4 linked regions of the Diceros bicornis minor genome follow. The protein of the gene in region 1 interacts with the protein of each later gene in a biochemical or structural test. Links are inferred from orthologs where the notes say so. Each region holds a gene or a part of one and is shown on either strand. Other genes may lie near its edges.

The links.
Region 2: of the proteins of histone H2A type 2-C (region 1) and MYSM1, one has a biochemical effect on the other in vitro, tested with the Homo sapiens proteins (2 studies listed by BioGRID). The link is inferred for Diceros bicornis minor from reciprocal best matches to the Homo sapiens genes H2AC20 and MYSM1.
Region 3: of the proteins of histone H2A type 2-C (region 1) and UBE2B, one has a biochemical effect on the other in vitro, tested with the Homo sapiens proteins (2 studies listed by BioGRID, with this or other methods). The link is inferred for Diceros bicornis minor from reciprocal best matches to the Homo sapiens genes H2AC20 and UBE2B.
Region 4: the proteins of histone H2A type 2-C (region 1) and UBR2 form a complex in vitro, tested with the Homo sapiens proteins (2 studies listed by BioGRID, with this or other methods). The link is inferred for Diceros bicornis minor from reciprocal best matches to the Homo sapiens genes H2AC20 and UBR2.

The regions. Positions count from the first base shown.
Region 1 is NC_080743.1:54,429,835-54,434,947, forward strand, and holds histone H2A type 2-C, read left to right. Parts: upstream 1-3,820; 5' UTR 3,821-3,880; coding exon 3,881-4,270; 3' UTR 4,271-4,431; downstream 4,432-5,113. Other genes in the region: histone H2B type 2-E, read right to left, coding at 3,171-3,551; histone H2A type 2-B, read right to left, coding at 4,432-4,824. UniProt on the Homo sapiens protein: Core component of nucleosome. Nucleosomes wrap and compact DNA into chromatin, limiting DNA accessibility to the cellular machineries which require DNA as a template.
Region 2 is NC_080752.1:20,399,621-20,407,084, reverse strand, and holds the start of MYSM1 (deubiquitinase MYSM1), read left to right. Parts: upstream 1-4,453; coding exon 4,454-4,536; intron 4,537-4,732; exon of another isoform or gene 4,733-5,226; coding exon of another isoform or gene 5,227-5,243; intron 5,244-7,464. UniProt on the Homo sapiens protein: Metalloprotease with deubiquitinase activity that plays important regulator roles in hematopoietic stem cell function, blood cell production and immune response.
Region 3 is NC_080740.1:53,502,022-53,508,912, forward strand, and holds the start of UBE2B (ubiquitin-conjugating enzyme E2 B), read left to right. Parts: upstream 1-3,885; 5' UTR 3,886-3,953; coding exon 3,954-3,997; intron 3,998-4,476; exon of another isoform or gene 4,477-4,958; intron 4,959-6,107; coding exon 6,108-6,188; intron 6,189-6,891. UniProt on the Homo sapiens protein: E2 ubiquitin-conjugating enzyme that accepts ubiquitin from the ubiquitin-activating enzyme E1 and transfers it to a E3 ubiquitin-protein ligase. In vitro catalyzes 'Lys-11'-, as well as 'Lys-48'- and 'Lys-63'-linked polyubiquitination.
Region 4 is NC_080753.1:22,990,586-22,998,486, reverse strand, and holds the start of UBR2 (E3 ubiquitin-protein ligase UBR2), read left to right. Parts: upstream 1-4,881; 5' UTR 4,882-5,186; coding exon 5,187-5,264; intron 5,265-7,901. UniProt on the Homo sapiens protein: E3 ubiquitin-protein ligase which is a component of the N-end rule pathway.

The sequences.
Region 1 (5,113 bases):
CAGGTTTAGGGCAAGATGAGTAGACCATTTTAACCAGAGCAGAAAACCTGATAGGGGAGCAGTAGGAGATACAGCTGTAAAAGAAGGAAGAGGCAGATTATGAAGGGCCTTGAATATCAAGCTTTTTAAAAGTGTGCATTGGATTGCAGTTCCACCACTTACTTCCTAAATGATCCAGAACAAGTTATTTAACTTCTCCGAGACTCAGTTTCCTTTATCTGTAAAGTAAGAACGATAATAACGAAATCTATCTTAAATGGTGACCGTGAGGATTAAATGAGGTAATGCATGTAAACCACTTAGCAGAGCACCAGGTAAATAGATAAGTGCTCAGTATGTACAAGCAATTATTATTATAACAATTATTGTCATTAACCCCAATATAAGCAAACATATACAGATGTTTGAGCAGGAGAAAGAAAGGATCAGAGAGGTTCTTTAGGAGGATTAATCTCACCATCACTAATTACCTCCCCTCCAGAGTTAAAATACCAAACTCGATCACTTCTACCCACTCCTCATTCTGTAACTTCCTTCCTAGTAAACACCATACCCAGGCAGAGCCCACAACCAGCAATAAGGTTCTCTCATGTTAGTGAAGGGATTCCAGCTGGTGAGCCCCCTACCACGTGGGGACAAACTGAGATGTGTCATGGCCTCTGGGATGGAGAACCAGAGCCTCCAATCCCATCCTCAAGACTTTTAGCCACCACCACCACCATAGATTTATATCCAGGGTACATCCTGAAGAGAATAAAACAGGTGGTATTTCTTTTAATTTTAAAGCATATATATTTCCCCCCAAAACCCAGGGAGGGGTCCAGGTTTTCAGAGTGGTCTTTCTTTCTCAAGTCCCTTAAGCACTGAACTAAGAGTTTATTCTCTGGAGAGTTTCTGAGGAGAAGCCTCTCTGTGCCTCAATTTCCTCATCTGTAAAATGAGAGATAATAATGGTAACTACTTCATCAGGTTCTTGTGAGGATTAAATGAGTCAATGTGTGTAAAGGGCCTAGAACATTGGCACATAGTGAGTGCTCTGTAGGTGTCAGCTAAACTTTCTTAAGGACTTTACTTTTTCTATCTTGTTTATAATGCTTCGTATTTGTGGTCATGTATTTTTCAATTACTAAGCAATTACAGTGTCCTCATAACAGGATATTTCAGCCCCAGTGCACCTCTGGTGTAGAAGTAAGTTTTGCTGATGGCTTATAAATACGCATCCTCCAAGTCAGAGGCACCCAGCTTTTCCATAGACCCAGTAGTCGTTGTATCTGTTAATTTCATTTAATTAGAAAATATACTGCAGATAAAAGAATCCAGCCAAGCTTTTAAATTAATTGGTCACTTTATTAATAACAATAGAATCTACACACATTTGAAAACATACATGTAGGAAACATAAGATTTAATCAGTCTATGGTAATGTCTGGAGTCCATTTGGATTCATGAAACCCCTGCAATCAACTCCGGGACCCCTTAGCCAAAAGCAGAGTTTAATAACTGATCAGACCATCAGTGTATTTATCAGCAAAATCAAGGCTTGGACAGAAAGGTTCAACATTCTGTAATCACACAAAATAAAACTAAAATGCAATTGTCCTCGCATCTGAGGATACAAAGGTGGACAATGTTAGCTGCATGGCCAGCGGACCAATCACTGTGCTTCTCTCAACCTCATTTGTAGAAGGGATATTAACTTTGCGTATCTTACAGGGTCCCCTGAAAAGCAAATGAGATCGCGAGTGTAAATTAAAAGCTCATCTCGGTGGGGAACACAGGATGAGGACGGTGGAATTGGGGGAAGGGTGTCAGAAAAAGAGAAAGGAAAAGGATCTTTTCAGGGACCAACGCTCTGAATTTAATTAAAATCCAAAATAGGTTACATTAAACTGAGAAGCATAAAGGGAGGACTAACCACTGCCGCCTCTTCTTAGGCGCAATAAGAATTTTAACACAGGCCTCCTCCTGGTTGTTGCCCTGAGGTGACTATCATCAGACTTGGGAAAGGAGCTCCAAAACTACTTCCATTTTCATCAGGTCTTCCCATATATTTAATGGAAATGAACCGCACCCATCCATCCAAGGAAGCGATTAAGCAAGGAGTGGAATAGGAAAATTAATTCAAAAAGTATTAATTCAATAAGTATGTACATGTCCACTATGTGTCAGGCACGGATTGGCACTGATGATACAGGGGAACACCAGACCCGCCAAGTCTCTGTCAAGGGCTTGAGGAGAAAGCCCCACAAACAATAAGATAAACGAACCACACAATTTCTGACAGCAACTAACAGGAAGATAAAACAGTTGAGGCACCAGGACAGGCAGGAACGGGGCGCGAATTCCTGAGTGGATGACTTGGGTAGGTGACTTTCAGCCCAGACCTAAATGACCAATGCCTTGCGGTGACCCGAGGCTAGAACGGTCCAAAGAGAGCATTCAAAGAAAAAATGATTCACAAATCGATCAATAGGAATTTCAAAGTCTCAAAGTGAGCGGCGAAAACCAGAACCTACGAAGTCTGGAGCCGCGTGTGGTTTTGAATATTCACGTCGTCCAATCAGGGGAAGGCTGGGACCCAGCACCGCTGGCTCTGCCCGAGGTGCCCGAAACTGCTGGTATCCACAGGGAGCCACACCGCAGGGCAGAACTGGTGACCGGAGACCCAAGAGGCTGCCACTCTCGGGAGAATTCTTCAGAGCTGTGACGCAGTGTTCGCAGGACCCCGAGCTTAGTTGTGTCCTGGGGTCCTTTCTTAAATGAGGATGCCCGAAATCTCACTTCGTTTTAGAACGCCAATAAAACATACCCAACAAAGCCACCAAGACACTGTAGTCTGGGGCCGGACGGTGGGGAGGAGCGTATTCGTAGCATCCTAATTTAGAACTGACTCATAGGAAAACCAAACACAGTAAGGGGTTAAGACGCGCCCTAGATTCAAAAGCAAAGCCAGTCACGCGCCAGGAACCTCAAGTCAGAAGAGCTTAAAATGCTACGAGTGCCATCTTCCACGACCTTTAGCCAACTAGAATAATTTACTTTGCGAGAAAGAACTAAGAGAAAACTAAGTGAACAGAGCTCTTTTCTGGTGATTAAGTGGGTGGCTCTGAAAAGAGCCTTTGGAGTCAAGCGGGCGGCGGCTCGTGCGAGCACCGCGTCCCGGCAGGGACTCACTTGGAGCTGGTGTACTTGGTGACCGCCTTGGTGCCCTCGGACACGGCGTGCTTGGCCAGCTCGCCGGGCAGCAGCAGGCGCACGGCCGTCTGGATCTCCCGGGACGTGATGGTCGAGCGCTTGTTGTAATGCGCCAGGCGGGACGCTTCGCCGGCGATGCGCTCGAAGATGTCGTTGACGAAGGAGTTCATGATGCCCATGGCCTTGGACGAAATGCCGGTGTCCGGGTGCACCTGCTTCAGCACCTTGTACACGTAGATGGAATAACTCTCCTTGCGGCTGCGCTTGCGCTTCTTGCCATCTTTTTTCTGGGCTTTGGTGACCGCTTTCTTCGAACCCTTTTTGGGCGCGGGAGCAGATTTTGCCGGCTCAGGCATTGTAATACACAACACCGATTAGCAAATAAAAGTATGAGAATGGGCGGGCCTGATCCTTTTATAACTACCGTATGCAAATTAGGGCTCCAAAAGTCTCTCGCTCCCATTGGGCCATGTAAGGACCTTGCGTTATCAGTAAAAGCTACGTAACAACACACACTCTTGACCTTATTGGCCGATTCTGGAGCCAATTTAGGACCAATGAAAAACTCGTTCCTGACTCCACCCCTAGGAAAGCTTATAAAGGCTTTCCAATTGCCGATCTTTCAAAACTGTTTTGTTGCAGAGTTTCTGGGCTTTAGGTATTTGTTATAACTTGATTTTTTAATATGTCCGGTCGTGGAAAACAGGGAGGTAAGGCTCGCGCTAAAGCTAAGTCGCGTTCGTCCCGTGCAGGCCTTCAGTTCCCGGTGGGACGAGTGCACCGCCTGCTGCGCAAAGGCAACTATGCCGAGCGGGTGGGGGCAGGCGCGCCGGTGTATATGGCGGCGGTTCTCGAGTACCTGACGGCGGAGATCCTAGAGCTGGCGGGGAACGCGGCCCGCGACAACAAGAAGACACGTATCATTCCTCGTCACCTCCAGTTGGCCATCCGCAACGACGAAGAGCTGAACAAGCTTTTGGGCAAAGTCACCATCGCCCAGGGCGGTGTTTTGCCGAACATCCAGGCCGTGCTGTTACCAAAGAAAACGGAAAGCCACAAAGCCAAAAGCAAATAAATCCTAACTAAGTAAACCAAAGATCAAAGGCTCTTTTTAGAGCCACCCAAGTTTTCAAAGAAAGAGCTAATGCGCTATTTCGTGATCAGCCCTTCAGTTGATACTTTAGTGGCTCTTAAAAGAGCCTTTGGGGAGAGTGGGGATGGTGTCAAGCCTCTTAATTACTTGTTCTTGCCAGGCTTGTGGCTCTCCGTTTTCTTAGGCAACAAGACAGCCTGGATATTGGGTAAGACGCCGCCCTGGGCAATGGTGACACCCCCAAGTAACTTGTTGAGCTCTTCGTCATTTCTCACAGCTAGTTGCAAATGGCGAGGGATGATGCGCGTCTTCTTATTGTCTCGGGCCGCGTTCCCCGCCAGCTCCAGAATCTCTGCGGTCAGGTATTCGAGAACCGCCGCTAGATACACCGGCGCGCCGGCCCCCACCCGCTCCGCGTAGTTGCCTTTGCGCAGCAAGCGGTGCACTCGCCCCACCGGGAACTGCAGGCCAGCGCGGGACGATCGAGACTTGGCCTTGGCGCGAGCTTTGCCTCCCTGCTTTCCGCGTCCTGACATTACGGCTAAAAACGCAGCTACAGCTTCTTTTTCAAGGAGAAGGATGTGGAAAGGATAACCAATTTGATGTAATTTATAAGAGCTACCGGGAGGGGTGATGGGAAGTAGTTTGATTGGCTAAAAGCGGAGCCCGATCAAACAGCCAATAGGAAAGCAGAAAGCAGCCTCTTCGTTTGCATCCTGCACTGCGAGGAAGTGACGGATGTCTTAAGTACCTACCAATCGCTGGGAGCCACATTAAAGGCCCTTATTTGCATGCCAGTATTTTTAAAGAGAGAAGGCTTTCAAA
Region 2 (7,464 bases), on another chromosome or scaffold:
TATGCTCTTCAACATCAGTCTTAGCAAAATATTTTCAAGCACCATGTATGACCAGGCAAGGGAAACAATAGAAAAAATAAACAAATAGGACTATATCAAACTAAAAAGCTTCTGCACAGCAAAGGAAACCATCAATAAAATGAAAAGACAACCCAACATTTGGGAGAAGATATTTGCAAATCATATATCTGATAAGGGATTAATCTCCAAAATATATAAAGAACTCATACACCTCAACAGGGCAAAAGACCTGAACAGATATTTCCCCAAAGAAGATATACAGATGGCCAACAGGCACACGAAAAGATGTTCAACATCATTAACTATCAGGGAAATGCAAATCAAATCTACAATGAGATATCACCTCACTCTCGTCAGAATGGCTATAATTATCAAGACAAAAACAACAAGTGCTGGAGAGGATGTGGAGAGAAGGGAATTCTCAATAATTAGCTTAGTGCCCATAGGAAACATAAGGCATAAATGAGAGAAGATTTTATTTTGTTTTTTTGTTTGTCCACATTTCAAGCCAACTTTGTTTTGTTATTGTAGTGATTACTTTAGGGTTTATACAATACATCTGTAGTATATCACAGTGATAACATATTCAAGTGATATTATACCACTTCATATAATAACCTTACATAATATACTTGCATTTCTCATCAGACTTTATATTATTGTTGTCATATACTTTAATTATACATATGTTATAAATCTCACACTACATTGTTATTATTTTTGTTTAAACAGTCAACTCTCTTTTAAAGAGATTTAAACTCTAAGAAAAAATCTTATATATTTACCATGTACAGTCATGCATTGCTTAACGAGGGGGATACGTTCTAAGAAATGCTCCATTAGGTGATTTCGTTCTTGTGCACACATCACAGAGTGTACTTACACAAACCTAGATCCTATAGCCTACTGCACACCCGGCCTATATGGTACTCATCTTATGCAACCACCGTCGTATATGCAGTCCATCCTTGACTGAAACGTTGTTATGTGGCATGTGACTGTAGTTTCTATTCCCTGCATTCTTCCTCCTTTTATGCAGATCAGGATTTTCATCTATCATTTCTTTCTGCCTGAAGGATGTCCTTTAACATTTCTTGTTGTAAAGATAGGATGACGAGTTCTTTCAGATTTTGTGTCTTAGAAAGGCTTAACTTTGCCTTCATTTTTGAAAGATATTTTGGTAGGTGTACAGTTCTCTAAGTTGTCTGACTTTTTTCCTTTCAGTAATTTAAAGATATTGACTCACCATCTTCTTACCTCCAGTGTTTCCAACAATAAGTTTGTTGTCATTCTTATCTTCCCACTGTAGGTAACATGCCTTTATTCTCTGGAAAGTTTTCCTCTTTATCACTGGTTTTGAGCAATTTGATTACAGTGTGGTTTGGTGTAGTTTTCCTTATGTTTCTTCTGCCCGGGGTTCCTTGAGTTTCTTGGATCTGTAAGTTTACAGTTTTCTTCAAATTTGGAAAAATTTTCAATCATTATTTCTTCTAATATTTTTCCTGACCTCCCACCCTTCACTTTTCAGAGACTCCCATTACGCATATATTAGGAGGCTTGAAGTTGTCCTCACTGATTTTCTGTACACTTCTTAACCTTTTTATTTCTTAGTGTGTTTCATTTTAGATAGTTCTTTTATTATGTGCTCAGGTTCACCAATACTTTCCTTTGCAATGTCTACTTTGCCACTAGTCTCATCCAGTATATTTTTCTTCTCAGGCATTGTAGTTTTTATCTCTAGAAATTCAATTTCATTCCTTTTTGTATTTTCCATGTCTCTACTTTCTGAACATATGGAATATAGTTAAAATAACTGTTTTAATGTCTTAGTATGCTAATTCTAACATCTGTGTCAGTACTGGATGGGTTTCAATTGATTGACTTTTTTTCCTTATTATGGGTCATATTTTCCTACTTCTTTGCATGCCTGGTAATTGGATGCCAGATATTTTGAAATTTGTTCTGTTGGGTGCTGGGAATTTTTGTATTCCTACAAATATTCTTGAGATTTTTTGGGGAGGGAGGGCACAGTTACATTTACCTGGAAACAGTTTGATCCTTTCAGATCTTGTCTTGAAGATTTGTTAGGCAGTACCAGAGCAGTGCTCCACCCAGAGCTTATTATTCTCCATGACTTAGGCAATACTATTCCGAGTTATCTACCCAGTGCTTCACGAATCATGAGGTTTTCCAGTCTGGTCAGTGGGAATAGGCACTATTCCTAGCTCTGTATAAGTACCAGGCACTATTCCTGCTAATCTTTTTCCATTTGTTCTTTCTCTAAGTTAGGAACAGAGTCTTCTATCTTGCATTCCCGAGTCTAGAACATTACTCTCAAATTTTGACTGATCAATAACCTCCTCAAAAATGTGGTACAGCAAAGGGTTGATTCTGAGATAAGTGTCCGTCCTCTGTGACCCCCCCAGCAGCCTGTAACTCCTCCATCATAGAACTTATTATATCATCTTGAAATTGCATGTTTGATAGACTTTACGAGAGCAGAGACTGAGTCCATCTTGTTCAATGCCATTTCCCCAGTATCAAGCACAGTAGGAGTACAAAAAGTATTTGTGAAATATGAATTCTGAATTCTTCATCCTGCTTTCAAACTACTTGGTGAGAAAATGGGTCTTTAAACAAGTCACAGAGTTGCAGACCTCTAGAAAAGAGAATTTTAAATAGTAGCCAGGCCTCAGTCAAGAGTTCACCTGACTGTGAGGTTATAGCCCTATCCTGGCAGGTGGAGTTGGGCTTAGACACTTATGAACCTATTTCACACAAAGCTAACTAACCAGGAGCATGGTGTGGGGTATGTATGGGAAGGCTTCAGACTAGTCTCCCTGTTTAGGGAGGCCTCTTCATCTAAAGACCTTGGGGGTATACTTGAATTCTGTGCAGGCCTTTCCTTTCTTCCACATATATTTTAATGCCTATTGATGTCTGGCACTGGGCCAGAAGACCTCCAGTGCTGCATTGCAGGAGATGCTGTTCACATGGTATTCTGTTTTATGGTCTAGGAGACATTTGATATCATGTGTATCCAGATTGTCCTGCTAGGGTTCCCATCTCAGCCTGCTACGTAAAGATCAATTAAAAGCATGTGTATTTGACATTTCTTTTGACTATCTGGCCATGTACATCTTTCTAACCTTGCTCTAAATTAAATTCATCAAACATCTTAGAATGCCTACTCTGTGCCAGGTATGCCAGTTACCATTGGGACTGATCATTGGATAAGCCATTTGACAACAGGAACAGCATTCCCACGGTGGCCTAAGGCTAGGGCACTATCCAGTTTCTGAGCACTGGATCTCCCTCTTTACAAATCTTTCTACCTACCTTCTGCCATCACATTCACAGTACAGCTCATCTTATGCCCTGAGCACAAGCAAAGGTGAGATGGGACAAATCCAGAATAGTGTGGGAAGTGAACTCATTTCATTGATTTATTGGTTCATTCGTTCATCAGTTTGATATTTATTGAGCACCTACTATGTATCAGACACCATGCTGAATGTTGGTAGTATAAAGACTAGCAGATACAGCCTTTGTCTTGAGAGAATTCACAGTCCAGTGGTGGAGGCAGACAAGCGAATGAACAGTTACAATAATGTGAGTGATAGATACTAAGGTAGAAGAATACATAAGGCCAATATCTAATTTCTTGAGGGGCCATAAATTCTTTGAGAAACATGGTGTTTATCTGTCATAGTTCCTAACAACACGATTTGTAGAGGGTGAGCACTCAGTAAAGAGTCAAGAGAGCTGGATTGTGGTCCCAGCCCTGTCTTTGAATAGCTGTGTATCCTCTCATAGTCATTTCAGCTTTCTGAGCCTCAGTTTCCTCATCTGTGTGACTGATGACACCAGTCCTGCCTACCTCACTGGGTTATTGCAAAGATCAATGGTGACGAGACGAAAGTAATTTTTTCGTTAATTATAAAGATTTCCACAAAATAAAACATGCAATCATAAATTATATTCTTAAATGTTTGCTTAATTTTAAAATAAAAGTTGTTCACCGCTTCACATAAGTGCCGAACGATCCTTTTCTTAAAAAAAAAAAGAAAAGAAGCAGGTAAGGGTCCTTCATTGTTGCCACCTTACGGTTCAAAGCAGGTCTGGCGTGCCCTTTCCTGCACTCCAGAAAGATATCTACTATTATCCCCATCTTACAAATGAAAGAAGTGAGGCGCCAGAGAATTTGTGCAAGCGCATGGTCTCTTCAAAGCCCAAGCCTAAGCCACTTCCCAAGGTCTTCGCGCGTCACTAAAGTCAGAAAGACCGCGCCTGGGCTGCAGCGGGCTGCTTTTCTCTGGAAGCCCCGCCTCCCCGCCACGGGAGGGGCTGGACGAGGCTGCGACTCCGCCCCGTGACGCGTCGGCCCCGCCCCTAGGCCCTCCGCCTCTCGCGGGATCTCTCGGGATGCCGGATGCGGTCAGGTCCCATCATGGCGGCTGAAGAGGCGGATGTGGATGTTGAAGGGGACGTGGTGCCGGCGGCGGCACAGCCCGGGTGAGGCGTAGAGACCGGGTCTCTCAGGGACGGGGAGGGCGGGGAAGCGATTAGAGTATCCTGGGAGGGCCTCGGGCCCGGCCGGGGACGGGGGAGCGGGAGACCGTCCCCTGGGCCGGGGTCTCCGGCGGCCGGGGAGCGCCGCGCCCATCCGCCTGCCGGCCGCTCCTGAGCCCGGCGGCGGGACCGGGCTGGTGCCGGAGGGCTCCTTCACCTTTCGCTGGATGTGTGAGGGCGCCGACCTGGCCCGGCTGTGCGCCCCATCCAGCGATTAGATTCCTTTTTCCGTTACCTCCACCCCAGCATTCGCCCCCTCGCCCCCTCCGACAGTAACTAGAACGAGGGCGGCTTCTGGACTGGGCCTGAGCCCGGGGATCCTTGTGCCGTCGCCTGCAAGCCGTGTGACCTTGGGCGTGTCGTTTCATCCCTCCTGGCACAGCTTTCCTCTTCCACATGGGGATAGTTGTGAAAAACTTCCTGGGAGGCAGCTCGACTTCAAGGAGAGGGGGCGGGCTTTAGAGTTGGACGGCTCTGGCTTCTCCTGCATTGGCTGGCCCTGCCGGTAACCAGCAGTGTGACCTTGGGCCAGACGTTTAACTGGTCTGAGCCTCAGACAGCTCATGTGTACACTGACAATCAAGATACGTACTTCAGACTGTTACTGTGAGGATCCAATGAAATAATTATGGGATGTGCCTTAGCATACGGTAGGTGCTCCGTCAGTGTGTTCCTTACCATCCCGTTACCCTCAGAGATGGTATTGTGAGGACTCATTGAGGGGTCACAGTGTATTTAATAGCTATTCCTGCAGAGCAGGCCAATGTGGTTTTACACTGTAACCTCCAGCTTGAGAGATCTAGCCCGTTGCTTGCCTTTCGAGTAAGAAATTGATACCATTTTGAAATGTGCTTCCAGAGTCTCCTTTTAGTAATGGAAGAGGCCTAGACTGGTCAGGAATAAGAAGACCTCAGTTCTAAACTCCGTCAGCTGTTGCTTGTAACTATGAACAACTTCATTAGAAGTCTGTTAGGTTGAACCATGTGAAATTGCCAATCTTAGACCATTTTTGACCTATAAAATGTCAGTTTCATATGGTCCCACCTAATATTAGGGCCTCTGTAAATTGTGGGAGAAGAGCACTAACCCTGCCCAGGAGGGACTAAGATAGTGGGTTTCAAGTTCTCCTGAGCTCTAAAGCACTATAAAAATGTGAGGAGTAATTAAATTCATATAGTCGTTCTCCCCCAAATCTTGAGGCAAAGCAGTCCAAAGTCATACAGATGAGTAGAAGCCTTTAATAACAGTCATCGTTCACATTTGTGTAGAGGAGTTAATCTTGACCAGGGGCTTTGCATGCATGATTTAATTTACTTGTCACAACAGGGCTATGAGATGAGTGGGCAAGGATGCTTCTAGAGAAATGAGTTGGGCTTGGAAACACTAAAGATCATCTGAGAGCATTGGCTCTACCCTTTTTCCACGGGTTCTTCTTTATTCTTCTGATTGTGTTTAATTTTTCTCCCTTTCCTCTTTTTCTTTCCTTTCTCTTGCTGTCTTGATTGAGCCTTAGGTCTACTGGTGGCACCTGTGACCTCCCTAGTCTCATGCAAGCAGGAAAACAAAGGTTATTGGTTCCTGATGGTCAGAGCCATTGCTTTACACAACTCCGAGGGGCACCAATAACATTATATTCTGGTGAATGGTGCTCCCTGGTGTTGGGGCTCTGATCATACGGAATTTAGTGTGAATGATGCACCCTGCAGTGTGTAGTTACAGCTGATGATAACATCTGTGGAACCCTTGAAGATTAATTGAAAACACACTTTTAAGTACTTGCTAAGTGCTCGGTACCAGAGTTAGAAGATGGCATTGACACTTCTTGGTTTCCCTTCTGCTTTTACCATTCCTTCTTGTCCTCCTTTTCTTCTGCTTGTCCTTTAAATCATAGTGTTTCTAGGGGTTTTATCATAAGACTTCTCACTAACCACACAGTCCCTGGTGAGGTCATCCAGAAGACTTAAATTTCTATCTCTTAGGTTGGACCATATGAAATTTTGCCAATTTTTGACCTACAAAAATGGCAGTTTTCTAAGTTCCACCTAATAACATGCTGATGTTTGCCAAATCTGTCACCAACCCAAATTTTCTCCTGAGGTTCAGATCCGTTTATCCACTTCTCTGAAATCTGTCTGCCCTTGGATGTTCCACAGGCACTTCAATCTCAGCTTATGAACTTTCCCCACCAAACCTGCCTCTCCAAGTTCCCTAGTTGAATGAATGGCACCATCCACCCACTCGCCCAAGGCACAGACCTAGACTTTATCCCTTTTCTTTACTCTCTTCTTCCACTCCTTCTAGCCTATCACTTATTAAGGGTCTGTTGATTCTAAGTATCCTCTCAAATGTATTCACTTCCTAGTCACACTGTCTGTTCGCTAGGTCTGTTACTGTCACCTCTCTCTGGTATTTATGAGATCACTCCCTCTTAACTGCTCCTTGTCTCTTAAGCCCCCTTCGGTTCTTTCCTGAAGTTAGAGCAGTCTTTCTTACATCCAGATCTGATCATGTTATTCCCTTTAATCCCCACTTGGCTTTATGATAAAATCTTCATTCCTTAACTTTTAGAGACCTGTATGATCCATGCCCCACCTACGTCATTCAGTTGTTCATTCAACGAATATTGATTAAGCACCTTTTATATACCAAGCCCTGGGTATGTAACAGTTGTCAAAACTGAGTCCTGGCTCTCATAGAACTTTTTATGTATGCCAGATGGAGATAAGTAGAAAAAGATAGAAGAGAGAAGGTGGATGGCTTGTGAGCTTTATCTCATGTACACTTACCCAGGAAAATGATAAGGTCTGAAACTGCAGGACCTCAGAGGTAGTGTGGATACGGTGGAAGGACTGATTTGAAAAAGGTTTGAGA
Region 3 (6,891 bases), on another chromosome or scaffold:
GCCCAGCCCGCACCGGAACTTAGCGAGCCCCTTGCTGTCTCGCTCATTCCCATCACCACCAAAATTTACGATTCCCTCACTACATGTCACCTATCCATCCTGGGTGGGGTCCTCACACGTCCTGTTATGCCCCCGTCAAATATGCGGTTCCCGCAACACGGCTGACCACAGACCAGGCCCCGGGACCCAAGAAAACCTCGGTCCCGCCCGCTCGTCAAACCAGACGTCTTAGTGTCCCGGACCAGTGTCGCGCCCCTGGCCCCGCAGTCGACCTCGTCCGGGCAGCCGCCGCCGCCTCAGCCCATGCTGTAGTCACGCCTGCCTAGCTCCGCGAAGCCCTAGCAGCCCAACAGGACGCCGCCCCTACATAGCCCTCAGTCCCCGCTAAATCCGGGCGGCCCGCTACCATGGCAACGGGGCCGCGCCCTTCGCGCTCGTGGCCTACTGCGCAAGACCGGAATATCGCCGCGGCCGGGGACCCGGAAGGGAAACGGGGAGAGGCGGAAACGAGTGCCGGCTGGGTGCTAGGTGGAAGCCCGGTTGGGGTCGGGGGTAGGGACTAGAGGTTGCTGTCGATCAAATTGGGGCCTCCTCACAGGCTGGTTTTGAGCGGAGATAACGGAAGATCGGTATTTTGACTACAACGTGAGTGACTGAAAATCCTCTAGGGGAGGGGAACCGGGGCAGAGGCTTGTTGGAGCTGCGTCGCAGATGCCTCCACGCCAGAGAACACCTGCCGCTTGTGCTGGGTCCTTAAAGGATGGCTGGCGTCATTACGCAGAGTTGTAAAAAGAGACTTCCAAGGAAGTCTTGTTTAATTATAGTTTCCTAAGCTATCTAGTTATGTTAATATTCCATAGACCGGAGTTTGACCTCAACAGTCGACATTAATCCTTAAAAGGAGGAGAAGATTCTTAAATCAATAACATTTCTTGAACACCCTCTCTATGCTTTTAAATTTTTTCAAACTTGTGGTAATTCTTGTTTTTAAAAACTCCCTTACTACATGTCAAAACTCTAAAACTCCCTGTTTGGGAAAGTAAATAATTCAAAGCGTTCTACCACACAGATTGACATACAAGGGCACAGAAGGCAAAAAAAAAAAAAAGAGGCCGTTAGCTAACCACTCAAGAACTAGAGATGGGGTTCTGCTGGCGTGACAGCCTCCAGTAAACAAGGATATCAATGGAGCAAGTGCCCAACAGTGCCGTCCTTGTTAGGGCTTTCATTCCTTTTTTCTATGAGTTAAATGTAAAAGGCCAAATCTCACTATGCTTCCCCTAAATAAGAGAAAGCATCATTATTATCCAATAAATTCTAGTCCACTTGGTCCCATCCCACCATGCACATTAAAATCACACCTGGAGAGCTTTTAAAGAGGCCCCACCCTTAAAGGTCCTAATTTAAATGAGGTAGGGTAAAGAAATTGATATGTTAAAAGCTTCCTAAGTGTTTCTATGCTGCTACGGTTTATACTGAGAAAGAAGTGGGAGAGGTAGGAGAGGTGGGCATGGTTTGTATCACCACCAAAATATTCCAAATTGCCTTTTTTTTTTTTTTTTTTTTCCTGGTGAGGCAGATTGTCCCTGAGCTAACATCTGTGCCAGTCTTCCTCTACTTTGCATATGGGATGCTACCACAGCATGGCTTGATGAGTGATGTGTAGATCCACACCAGGGATCTGAATCTGCAAACCCAGGGCTGCTGAAGCAGTACTGTGAACTTAACCACTATGCCACCAGCTGGCCCCCAAATTGCCTTTTCTTTTAAAAAGTTATTCAACCATCTTATAAAATACTTTCTATCTATGAGTAAGAATGTCATAGTAAATCTTACAGTGGGCCCAGACTTGCTGAAAGCATATTAAATTTTTTTGTGTGGGCTAAACGTTTGCAAGAGACAAAGCATGAATCAGTGTCCCTGCCCTCAGTGAGCTCACAATCTAGAGCTACAGACTCACTACAGTATAAAATTACAGCTTTAAAACTATTCTTTCTATAGATAGGTTCTGGCAGATCTACTAAGCAGGACAGCCAGTGATTTCTGTTTATACACTGCTGTAGGACTTTAATGAAAAAACTTCACTGATTTCGTTGAAAGTATTACTTCATTTTGGAAAACTGTAAACTGTGGGTTTCCAAAACAATTACAAATTGCTAGTCAAATAACAGGGATTTAAAGAAAAAAGTTTCTCCTCAGCATTTCACTGCATGTAACACTACTGGTGTTTCTTCAACCTTGGCTATGGGGAGGATTAGGATTGCTATGGCAGGAAGGCAAAAAAATAAGAATATTCAGCTTTTGACGTAGAGAATCATATTTGCGAATGAGAGCAGGACCTATCAAGAGTTAGGCCTGACTAACCTGATCTCTAAGGCAGCTACTAAAAGCAAGAGAGAATTCAGGGTTTGAAGAAACGGAGATACCAAGAAAGTGAGGAAAGTTAACCCTTTCTAGTTCTGTAGAACTATGGGCAACTTGGGGCAATGCTAAGGTCCTTATTCCATCCTCCTCTTCCACCTTGGACTGAAGAATTACCCAAAAGAATATGAAAGTGCTCAGAGTCCTTCTGACCAGCTAAGCCCTAAGGCCAGGAATTGGAGGCAATAGAGGGAAGGAAACAGAATCCCCAGGGGTCAACACCTCTGAGCCCCCTGGTGGGGAGCATTTCAGGCCCATTTGCCCCTTACTTGCTAGCATAGAAAACCTGAAATGAGTTATCCAGGCTAGATATATAACCCCCACCTTTATCTGCCTGATCTCTCCCACAGATTTGAATCCTATTTTTAGGTGTCTCTGACAACCAACCACCCATCCACATGCTCTCTTGAGATCTCATCCCAACATTTCTTGACAAATACAAGGTACCCCATTGTGGCCAAATCCATGAACTTTTCCACACATCCTCAAATGAGAGCAGACCCATAAAGGAAAAACAAAATTCCATAATTCCATAAGGACTGTGAACAAATCTTGGACAATCTGTACACTGTTCTTTTATCTTTGCCCAGAATTTCCAACCCTGGAAACCCCACTGTAATGCACATACAGGCTATTTGGTGGCCCTAACTAAGCATTTCAGGAGATTTTACTTTGTGCGGGCCTCAGCATTCAATGCTGCACTTAGCAAAAACTGAGGTCCCTTCATTCTGCCTTCCCCATACACCAGATAAGCCATTGAACCAACCAAAGAGGATTTTGAATCCAAATTATTTTGGGACCCTTTTAAAGACTTAAGCAGCAAAACAAGCTTTTGCTTCCACCACGACTCTTCGATTGCCGTCCCTGTTTATGGGACAAACTGGAGGGAAAACTAATAAAGGTATATCCCTGCCCTCAGCCCAATAAAATTAACTACCGGCTTCATAGACCTGGCTGAGACTCAGACCAGAGCAGCACTCTCACGTGATCCGTTCTAATAGCGTCATAGGGACACGTGGTTCTAGATACTTCGCCCCCTCCCCCTCAGGGGTGGATTGTTGACAACGTCGCCATAGGTCACGTGATCTTACGTCATCCCACCTCCTTTCCCTGAAATCTCTGGCCCCGGATGCGTTCCTCTCTCCCCACCCGGTCGAGCCTAAACTAGTGAAGGGGGGAGAGACACGGTGGTGTTTCGGTTTGAGTGTCTCTTAATCCACAACCTCCAGTCTGAGAACGGAGAACACTAATTTGTTGATTAGTTCAGGCAGTCAAAATGAATATAGAGTCCTGCTGAAAGGCTCCTATAACGAGCTTTCATACGTTCCCCCGCTCCTCCGCAACCCCTCACCCTGTGGTACTGGCGAAGGGCGGAGGGATCTGGAGGCGGCGGAGGGAGACGTCATTGCAGGGTTGTTTGTGCAACCTCGGCAGCGGCGGTGACCCACAGTGATTCGACCGCCGCGCCGGGGGGTGGGGGGGGCTGTGCGGGACTCTTTTTTTTCAGACTGATCGCGGGGCAGGTGGGGAGCATGTCGACCCCGGCCCGGAGGAGGCTCATGCGGGATTTCAAGCGGTAAGGGCCCTCATCTTCGCCCGGCTGACGGCTCCTCCCCAAAGCTGCGGGGCAGCAGGGCGGGGATCCGGGACACCTTTCTCTCTTGACCCTAAGGGCCGGCTTTGGGCCCAGCGGGACCGACGGAAGCCCAGTCCTAGCTCCCGGCCGCAGTCCCTCAATCCTTGCTTGCTCACTCTTCCGACGTAAAAAATTTCGGTACCCTATCCCCGCCTCCAAAAGTAAAAAGATGGCTTTGGGCTGTCCTAGGATTCTCTGCTGCCCACTTGGACCGGCTGCCCGACGTCTCATCCTAGAGCTTGTACCTCATCCCCCCACCTCCCCGGTGCCCCCTCCCTGTCCCGTAAGAGCGAGCCCTTGCAGAAGCTTTTTCCCCGCTTGCTGCACTAGTCAGCTTTGTTCGATGGCCCTGCGGTCTCCTCTGAGGGGCTGGGTTGGGGCGAAGTCCCCCCCCCCCTCGCAGTGAGGGTGGGGTCTGCAGCGCGTGGTCTGGAGGTGGTTAACCCATCCTCCGAAACCCGACTCTCCCCGCCCGCCTGAAAGGACCTTGAGTGCTGGCTTAGAGACCTGGGCCTCGGGCTGGCAACCCCGGCTGCCAGTACCTTCTGGAATTCAGCTCTGTGGCCTGGTGTATAAAGCCCTATCTATAGCCTCCAAAGTCTGGAAAAATGCCTTCCTTGAGGCTGGCGCTAACCTGATACTCCCTGGGCCTCCTTTTGTAAAACAGGGTTTTGTTAGGAGGTGTTGGGGTTAGTGAGGAGGAAGTGACTTTTTTTCACTTGTTTACCTTTGAATACCTGGAAGTACGGAATAAAATGAGAAAACTTAGCAATGCGATCCTCTGCGCATTTTAAATGTTTTTCTGGGGAGACCTTCCCTAGTTGAGACACAATATCTAATGTAAAAACAATATCAGTCGCTCAGGAAGTAATCTCTCGACTTCGCCATTAAAAAGCCGCAGGTGAGGCATTTGGAAGCCATTGTTTTGGGCCTTGGCCCGTTTATCATTGAATATATTTGTAACTTCTCTTAGCCATTTACCTTCGTGGGCGTCAGGCAGCGTAATTCCTCTAAGGCTTCTGTTCATCGTGGCCTAATCTACTTGAGGTTGACTAAAAAGAACGATTTTTATGTGGACTAATTTCAAAGTAGCATATCACATGACAGTCACTACATATATATCTATATGTATAATGTAGCATTTATTTTTTCCTGAGTTGGTAGTCTTTAAAAGGGGATGCTTCTTTGGTGCAAACATCTTCTAACGCTTGAAATCAGTAGACTTGAGATTAGCGCCCGTGAATGAAACTCAGGTAATGAAACTTCCAGTTTGTGTCCATTGTTACCCTGCTTTCTTAAGGGATTCTCTCCTTAATTCTGAGTTGAACACATGGCGCCTCTGGTAATTTTCCAAGGGTCTTCAGGTTACAAGAATTTCACTGTCACAAATATCGGAAGGTAGCTTTGTATTGAGTCTCCTCATGTAAGAGGTGGATTTAGTGTTAGTGCAGAGCCTTTAAAATAGGGGCTGTTGGCAGCTTAACTAAAGCGTTGATTACTTTAAAAGCCATTGCTAATTGAGGCTGGTGGGATAAAGTAACTTTCCTACCTAAAACCAGTTTCCTAATGAAACTGAATATAAGTATTTTCAGTCGTTGAGTACTTACACTGAATTTTTTTTGTTTTGCGGTTTTTGTTTTGGTGGTCATGTTGTACAAGTAGCTGTGATTAGGGCTCAGTCTTTGTGTGTTTATAGCAGCACAGTTGATTGTGCTGTAAAAATATTTTTTGCACTCGAGGGTCTTTTTTCTGGTTGAGGGCAGTCTGTATACCTCAGTTCTTGAAGAGATATCTTAAACTCAGTGATATTTGAAGAGGGATGATTCCTAAGCCCTTTGGAATTTTAGATAATTTGGAGAGATATTTAATAAGTATATACCTGGTCGATTTTTTTTTTTTAAGTCATGGTTTGTTCCAGCTCAGCACAAGAACAAGAAAATGGATTTAGTGTGTGTCTCAGAGTAGATAGTATAGAGTCCATAGGTGTTCTGTTGGGCCTTCTTAGTGGCCTTCATGTTCAACTTTTAAAATTACTACTCTGGATTTCTAGATTGCAAGAGGACCCACCTGTGGGTGTCAGTGGTGCACCATCTGAAAACAACATCATGCAGTGGAATGCAGTTATATTTGGGTGAGTTGAAAAATAAAACAGGTGATAGGTGTGGTGATTCTTTAAGAACAGTGAATGTATAAGAACTAGGAAAAGAGGCTGAGGTGAAATCAGGGATCTTACAGAAACTACAAGGCTAAATCAGAAAAAAACATTTTGATGAGAGTTTTGGCAGTTACATAAAATTTATTTGCATTTTACTGTTACTATGTATAATTTTATAATCACGTTGGGTTTTACTTGATAAAAATACCATTTGAAACTAAAGGAGAATAGATAAATTATTTTGTACAAAATGTACCAAGCAAATGTTTTTGCTTGCCTTCTGTTGGAACTGTAAAAAGGTATTGAGAACTTGCACTATGGCAAGAATTTAAATGAAAAATGTTTCACAGCCCAATGTGAAATAACTGAATGAAGCCTTTTGAGAAGCAACTACATTTTACATGTTAAATATATTGCATAGATGCTTTTTTTTTTTTTTTTTGCTGGGGAAGATTCACCCTCAGCTAACATCCGTTGCCAGTCTTCCTCTTTTTTGTGTGAGGAAGATTAGCCCTGAGCTAACATCTGTGCCAATCTTCCTCTATTTCTTTTTCTATGTGGGACACCTCCACAGCATGGCTGGTAAGTGGAGTAGGTTGGAACCCATGAACCTGGGCCGCTGAAGCGGAGCACCCAGAACTTAAACCACTCAGCACCAGGGCCAGGCCTGCATATATAC
Region 4 (7,901 bases), on another chromosome or scaffold:
CCTCTATCTCTCCACACACACAGAGGAAAGGCCATGGGAGGACACAGCCAGAGGTTAGTTGTCTGCAAGCCAAGAGAGAGGCTTCACCAGAAACCAACCCTGCTGGCACTTTGATCTTGGACTTCCAGACTCCAGAAGCGTGAGAAAATAAATTTCTGTTATTTAAGCCATGTAGTCTGTGGTATTGTGTTATGGCAGCCCCAGCAGTCTAATATAGGGTCCCAGTCCTCTGCCAGATTTTCTTTCTTTTGAGCTGATCAGTCTCTCTGGAGAAGATTCTCTCAAACTTCTGCATGGAACGGAGGTATAAGCCAGCCACTGGTGTTTTCAGAGCTGGGGGTGGGGTGGGGAATGCACTGGAGTCAACCTATTGGGTGTATAGACTTGAATTAACACCCTAGTATTCAATACAGTGTCCCTGTACTTAGCTGTGCCTGGTGTCTCCCAGTCCAAAGACCCTCAGGTATGCCTCTCTAGAGGATAAACCTCCAGTCTTCTTTCAAGGTTCCCACCTTGAAAGTGGGGTGATCTAACTTCTTGCTATACAGACTTTCAAAAATATTCTTGCTTTTAGCATCGTCTTTGTCCACTTTCAGAGTAACATGGTGCTTCAAATTTCTAAGTCTCTCAGAGTTCTGCATATGAATAAGATTGTTTCTGGGTGGCGGTACTGCTGGCTTAGGTTTCAGCATTCTCTGATTGCTAAGTCAGTTACTTCTCGTCCATTTGCTTTCCACTTTCCAAAATTTTGGTGCTGTCATCTCCACTCCTATTCTGTCTTTCCTTTTTCCTCTTTGCTGTCATGAGGTATTCAATATGCTATGTCTAACTGGAAATTGGGGCTTAAGTTTTAATGCCCACATGAAGACATAAGACAAGACCATGGGTCCAAGAAACATGAATTGAAACTGAGATCTCCACATAAAGCCAGGGCTTTCAAAGGAATGTAACATCAGTGAAAGGATAGACTAGAAAAAAACTCACTGACTGGCAGAGGGAAATGACAAGGAAGCTTTTAACCTTGACTCTGGGTAGGAAAATAACTCTCCTTTAAGAATTTACAAACAGAGACAATGGCACACAATTGAATTAATACTATTAGGGAACCCCCAAGCCAAGAAACTGACCAAAAAAATTGGTCCTGGGTATATGATACTCCTAGAATGCCTGGTCCTGAGTATAAGATGTTCCTAGAATGCCTCACCTTGCAGAAGCAAATGGAAAACTATTTTGAAAGTACATGCTCTTAACACAGGCCTCTCAAGATTCCCATAGCTAATGCTAAGTAAAGATGATCTCAAAATTCATAATTACAAAGCACAAAGCAAACAATCATTTAAATGAGGATTAGCACACACACAGAAAGTAAAATTAGATTCTCAAGATCTTTATAAGTACAACAACCTATTGAACACTACTGAATAAGGATATTTAAAAGTATTAAAGATATAAAACAAAGATTTAGAACCATAAATAAATAAGAAGACATTATGAAAGGAGAACAGAAATCTTTGTAAGTGAATTAAATATAATTTCTAGTAATGAGAAATGAAGTCATTGAAAATAAAAAGTCAGTAGATAGTGAAATATCAGATTAGACACAGCTAAAGAGAGAATTTGCACACTAGAAGATATATTCAGAATGCAGTACACAAAAGTTAAAAGTTGGAAAAATGAAAAAGAGATGAAAAGTCATGGAGAATAGAAAGGGAAGTCAAACAGAAGTTCCAGAAGGAGGAAATAGAGAGAATGCAAGAAAGGTAATATTTGAAGAAATAAAAGGTTTGAAGAGTTATTTGACCATGGACCCCAGTTCACAAAGCAAATGTCACCAAGTACCAAGAATCTATATAGTATAGACCATGTTCTCTGCCCACAATAGTATATGATGAGACATCAATAACAAAAGAAAATAATGTCATACACATTTGAAAAATTTAAAACATGCTACATGGATCAAAGAAGAAATCATAATAAAATTAGAAGATATTTAGAAATGAATTATAACTAATAAAATAAATGAAAATAATAAATAATGAAATAATGAAAACACTACATACCAAAATTTGTGGAATGTGGTTAAAGCAATATATAATGGAAATGTATTGCCTTGATAAATCTGTGAGTCTTAAAGGTAGCCCCCAGGTCAGCAGAATGACCCAGGAACTTAACAGAAATGCAATTTTCAGTCTCCACCCAAAACCTATTGAATCAGAAATTCTGAGGGTGGGGTCCAGAAATCTGTATTTTATCAAGACCTCCAGGTGATTCTGATGGATGCACAAGTTTGAGAACCACTGCCCTACATGTACATATTGAAAAAAAGAGAAAGATTAATAGCAAACATCCAACTCAAGAATTTAGAAAAAGAACGTTAAAATCAACCCAAAAGTAATAGAAGGAAGAAGATAATAATGTTAAGAGCAGAAATTTTCTTTACAATCTATTTTAATGGCTTTAATTCTATGTTAGGACACTTAAAGAGGCATTATCTTTGCTTCTAGGTGGTAACAATCCCGATTTTCTTCCAGGTTGACTCTGACTAGGGAGTGCATCAGTGGAAGGAAGTCGGGCAAAGAAGAAAGTAACATGTAGAAGAACATTTCAAGATATCTCATTCTAGATATCTATGCAGATACATGCATACATTTTTTTCTGGATAGAATCATAACAAAGTATTAAAAATGATTTTCTTTGGGAGGAAGAACTTGGAGTAAGAGGGGTAGTTTTCATTTTTCCTTTGAAAAATATTCCTAGTGAGCTTGAATTTCTAATCTTATACATGTTACTTTTTTTTTTAATTTTTTTTTTTAAAGATTTTATTTATTTATTTTCCCCCCAAAGCCCCAGTAGATAGCTGCATGTCATAGCTGCACATCCTTCCAGCCGCTGCACGTGGGACGCGGCCCCAGCATGGCCGGAGAAGCGGTGCATCGGTGCGCGCCCGGGATCCGAACCCGGGCCGCCAGCAGCGGAGCGCACGCACTTAACCGCTAAGCCACGGGGCCAGCCCTACATATGTTACTTTTATTTTTAAAAGTAATAAGGCTTATATGGACTGTGAGGTTATGGGTAATTTTTATTTTCTTAAAAAATACTTTGGGGCCAGCCCTGTGGCTTAGTGGTTAAGTGCACCCACTCTGTTACTGGCTGCTGGGGTTCGGATGCCGGGCGCGCACCGACGCACTGCTTCTTCGGCCATGCTGGGGCCGCGTCCCGCATACAGCAACTAGAAGGATGTGCAACTATGACATACAGCTATCTACTGGGGCTTTGGGGGAAAAAAAAAGGAGGAGGATTGGCAATAGATGTTAGCTCAGAGCCCGTCTTCCTCAGCAAAAAGAGGAGGATTAGCACGGATGTTAGCTCAGGGCTGATCTTCCTCACAAAACAAACAAACAAACAAACAAACAACTTTGTTAATATTGTAGTACAGATCTTCCTCAACTACAAACCCACTGTAAATTGAAAATATCGTAAGTCAAAAATGCATTTAATACCTCTAACCTACCCAACATCATAGCTTGATCGTCTGTCTACCTGGTCTACCTTAAACGTGCTCAGAACACTGACATTAGCCAACAGCTGGGCAAAACCATCTAACGCAGAGCCTATTTTATAATAAAGTGTTGAATAGCTCATGTAATTGATTGAATACTGTACACTGTACTGAAAGTGAAAAACAGAATGGTTGTATGGGAACAGAATGGTTGTAAGTGTATCAGTTGTTCACCATCGTGATTGCGTGGCTGACTGGGAGCTGCTGCTCACCGCCGTTGCCCAGCATCACGAGAGAGTATCAACCAGCATATGGCTAGCCTGGGACAAGATCAAAATTCAAATTTGAAGTATAGTTTCAGTTTCCACTGAATGCATATCCCTTTGACACCATCAGCAAAGTAGAAAAAGTATAAATCGAACCATTGTAAGTCAGGGACCATCTGTATTGTTAACAACAGTAACAACAACAAAAACATGTCCCAAACCTGGATTGGGTCAGAACTGGTTTTGTGGGTTTTTTTGCCTCACATGATTCACAATCTCCCTCTGGGAATAAAGTAGCATGCTTGGTAAACTGTGTAAGCAATTTTCTGATAAACTCTAAAGGAATTGAAGACTTGTTCTAAGAAACCCACTCACCCAATTGTCAGTCAAGAGCCTAATTACCTCTAACCAAACATAATTTTCTTTTGTATCTAATCTAACAATGATTATCTTTCTATAAAATGTCCCTATCAGGAGCAAATCTTTGAATTGGCTTGCTAGACTCCTTTTCCTTTGCAGCAAGATTTGTAATCAATTTTGTTAAGTGGTCATAACTAAATCACTTAGAAATGTTTTCTTTAACAGCATTTAAACATATTTTAAAACCTTTAAAAACCTGGATTATGTTCACCTCGGTTACTAATCTAAAGGATGAGGGAATGGTGGATGACAGGGCCATAGAACTATAGGAATAGAATGTAATTCATTCGTTCCTTTGACAAGTGTTTGAGTGGCAAGCTCATATGCCAAGCTTTGACAAGTGCTTGATTGTCTACCACTTGCCCAGCACTGTTCTGGGATCTGGGGATACAAAAATGAACAAACGGGGTTGGGAGAATAAAACTACAGTTCCCACAATATCTTGCTCTTCTGCCTCTTCCCAGGTGGGCGCTTCTTTCCACTAGTCTCTTCCCAGGATTCTAGTTGTGCAAAAAAAGCCCCGTCCGCTTATCTGCCCTTTGCCTGTTCCCTTATTAAGAGATGGACTACAACTCCCACAATGCCGTCGTGGGGCACCCTATAAGAGCCCCACCTTCTTCCCGGCAGTGTCAAGGACGACTACAGTTCCCAGAATGCTCGGCTTCCTCTCTTGGGTGTTATTGCCCCTTTCCCGGTGCGGGACGCGGTAGTAGCGAGCGAGAGTGCCAGGCCAGGGGCCCTGTGTGTCCTTCCCCGGGGCAGGGACGGGGCAGTGACTTGACTCTTGGGCGCTGAGCCGGGAGGGAGCGCAGGAGGCCGCCGTCCCTCCTGTCCGGCTCCGCTCACGCTACTCTCCGTCTTCTCCACCTGCAGCCGCCTGGACGACTCCGGACCGACTGCCTGGGGCAGGGGTGGCGGTCTCGGCCGCCGGGGCTGTGGCGAGGCTGCGGCCCTCGGGGCGGCGGTAGCGGCGTCAGCGCTGGGGAGGAGGAGGAGAGAAGATGGCGTCGGAGCTGGAGCTCGAGATGCAGGCCATCGACCGGAGTTTGCTGGAATGTTCGGCCGAGGAGACCGCGGGGGTGAGTGTCGGGACCCGGGCGAGGACGTCCGGCCCTCGCTGGCGGCGCCCCGGGGGAGGAAGCGACTCCTGGAAATCCCGTAGCGGCTGGGCTCTCTGCCTCGCCTTGTGGGTAATGGCCCGAGAGGCCACCGATCCGGCCCGTCCCCTGCCCGCTTTATCCTCACAGAGCCCTCCGAGCTGCTCTGTGCACCAGCCACCTCTACACTCCCTTTCTGCCCGGGAGAACCCACAGTTCTTCCCTTAGCCCTTCTTCCCCGACACTCCCGTTAAGTCCCCAACACAAGGGCCTTTGCCCTTTTTGACAGCCCTTGGGAGAGGGGAGGGAAAGACGTTTTCTGATTTTTCGGGTGTAATCGCACTACTTTATTCTCCTGACTCCTTTTTCTGAGATAAGTGAAGCACTGCCTCCTCCACCGAAACATGCTACCTTAACAGACTCCCTACTTTGTTTCTGGGACTGCCCGAGGCACCGAAGGCTGCAGACGACACTGTTCTCCCTCTTCCCCCCTTCAGTGCGTTTTTGCACCGATTTGGTCAGTCGACAGCGCTGATGAATATGCGGAAAGTGGTGTCTCGACATGTTTACTGAGTGTGAGAAAGTAGTCGTGGAAGCTGGGAGATTAAAAAAATAATTTTTCTAGGAGTTGGGGATAGTTGGATGGAGAGCAAACGTTATATAACTTTGAGAGAGCAGCTTTCAACAAATAGAAGCTAATAATGTCAGGTTCGGTCACAGCATAAGTGGGAGCAGTTATGCCCCAAACTTAAACCATTCAAACCCAGTATTGCACTGAAACTGTATTATGAGTAGAATGCTCGTATGGGTAGCAAAGTTGTAAAATGATTAATTTAATAAACTCGGTGGCATCTTTCCTCGAGAAAGACAGGGAACACTCATTGGAACAGATTGTCCAGAATGATTATGAATGGACCAAAACAACCTGGGCCTTTAGAGGCCTCCAATTTAAAAAGCTACTAGGAAGGGAGTGACCTTTGAACAAAAGTCAACAATCTGAATGTTCCGAACACAATTTTAGTGTGGCACCACGGGGCGCTGAACACAAGTGCACTGCGGAGCACTTGGTCAGTGAGGAGTTATTTTGGATGAATTGATGAGGACACTAAAGTCAGAGTAGAAATAAATGCAAGAAGCAGAGGTGAAAAGTTAAAAGTATGTTGTTGAATGATGTGTCTTTGCTTGTTGGTTTGTTTTTTAAACCAACTTGTTTAGTCTAGGTCTGTTTTTATTTACTTTCTGCTTAATATTGCAACAGCCCAAGATTTTTTTAGCCCCCATCTGCCTTTCATTTATCAGAGAGATTTGAAAAAGAAAATGAAAGCAGTGTCAAAAAGGAAACAGGAAAATGATAGTACTGGCAGCTGTTCTCTATCCATGTCACCCTATCAACATCCATTTTAATATCCAATCTGTTATTGGCCTCAAAGTAATTTTTTTCTCCCACCGAATTTTGTCTCTTGGCCCCGTGATACAGGCTACGTGCTCTGTTTTTCCAGTTCTGAAAGTACAAGCTTCAAGTGATGAGAGCTTCTCCAACTTGTTGAGGTTCCTGAGGAAACCAGTTATACAACCGGTGCTGGAGACCAACGCTCTTAGTTCTTGTGCAGTGCAATTCTCAAGCAGATGCACTGGGAGAAATTAAGGGAAATGCAATCAGAATTTATTGATTTGGACTTAATTTGAGTTTGTGAAGATCACAATCTGAGCTACATTTTACTTTTGCTCTGTTTACTTTTAAGTGGCTTTCTGAACAATTAGATGAAAAAAATGTTTTGTCTGAAGGGCAACAAAATTTCTTAGAGAAGATGCAAACTAATATTAATATATAGGAATCTTCTGGCTGTGTAACCTGGCCTTACTTCGTGAGGGCTTTATTGTCTGGATTTAGTTAAAACAGCATAACAGTTAAAACTGTTCTTTCAGCTTAGGCTCCAGCACAGCCCTTGATCACAAATTAAAATGAATAAGTAAAGTTTTCTCAAAAGTAAATTTTAGAAAGGGTAAACAAGTAAAGAAAGCAGTTATTGCGGCCTTTTGACCTCTGTCACTGGTAATTTGTTGGGATCACATCCATTTAAAAGTCCTTAATAAGCACTAGTGTCATCTTTCCCACACTTTATTTACACATTGCTTTTCTTATTTCAGTTATGAGGAGGAAGGACTTTTTGTGATCCCACCTATTCTTTAACTAGTATGCCTCACAAATAAAAGCATTTAAGCGCTCTCTTCAATAATTGTAAGTTTAGCATGTTAAAGTGGCCCTCTCTTCTCAGTTTTCTCAGTAGAATTGATTCCACAAGTTGACTTTCCCAACACTTTTCCAGTCTATCTGCATTTCATGCTCCATGGATTGGATTATAGTATGTTCCAATGGATGATTTTGGTTTAAGAAGTACATATATTGTTTTCCCCCAAGTATAAAAGAAATACATATTCATTATAGAAGATTTATGTAGTTTTATGTCTGTATTGGTTATTTTTGCTTAAAAATTTTTAACAGTTTATATATAATTCACATATCGTACAATTCTATTCAGTGATTTTTAGTATTTCACAGAATTGTTCAACTATCATCACAATCAATTTTAGAACATTTTCATCACCCGGAAAAATAAA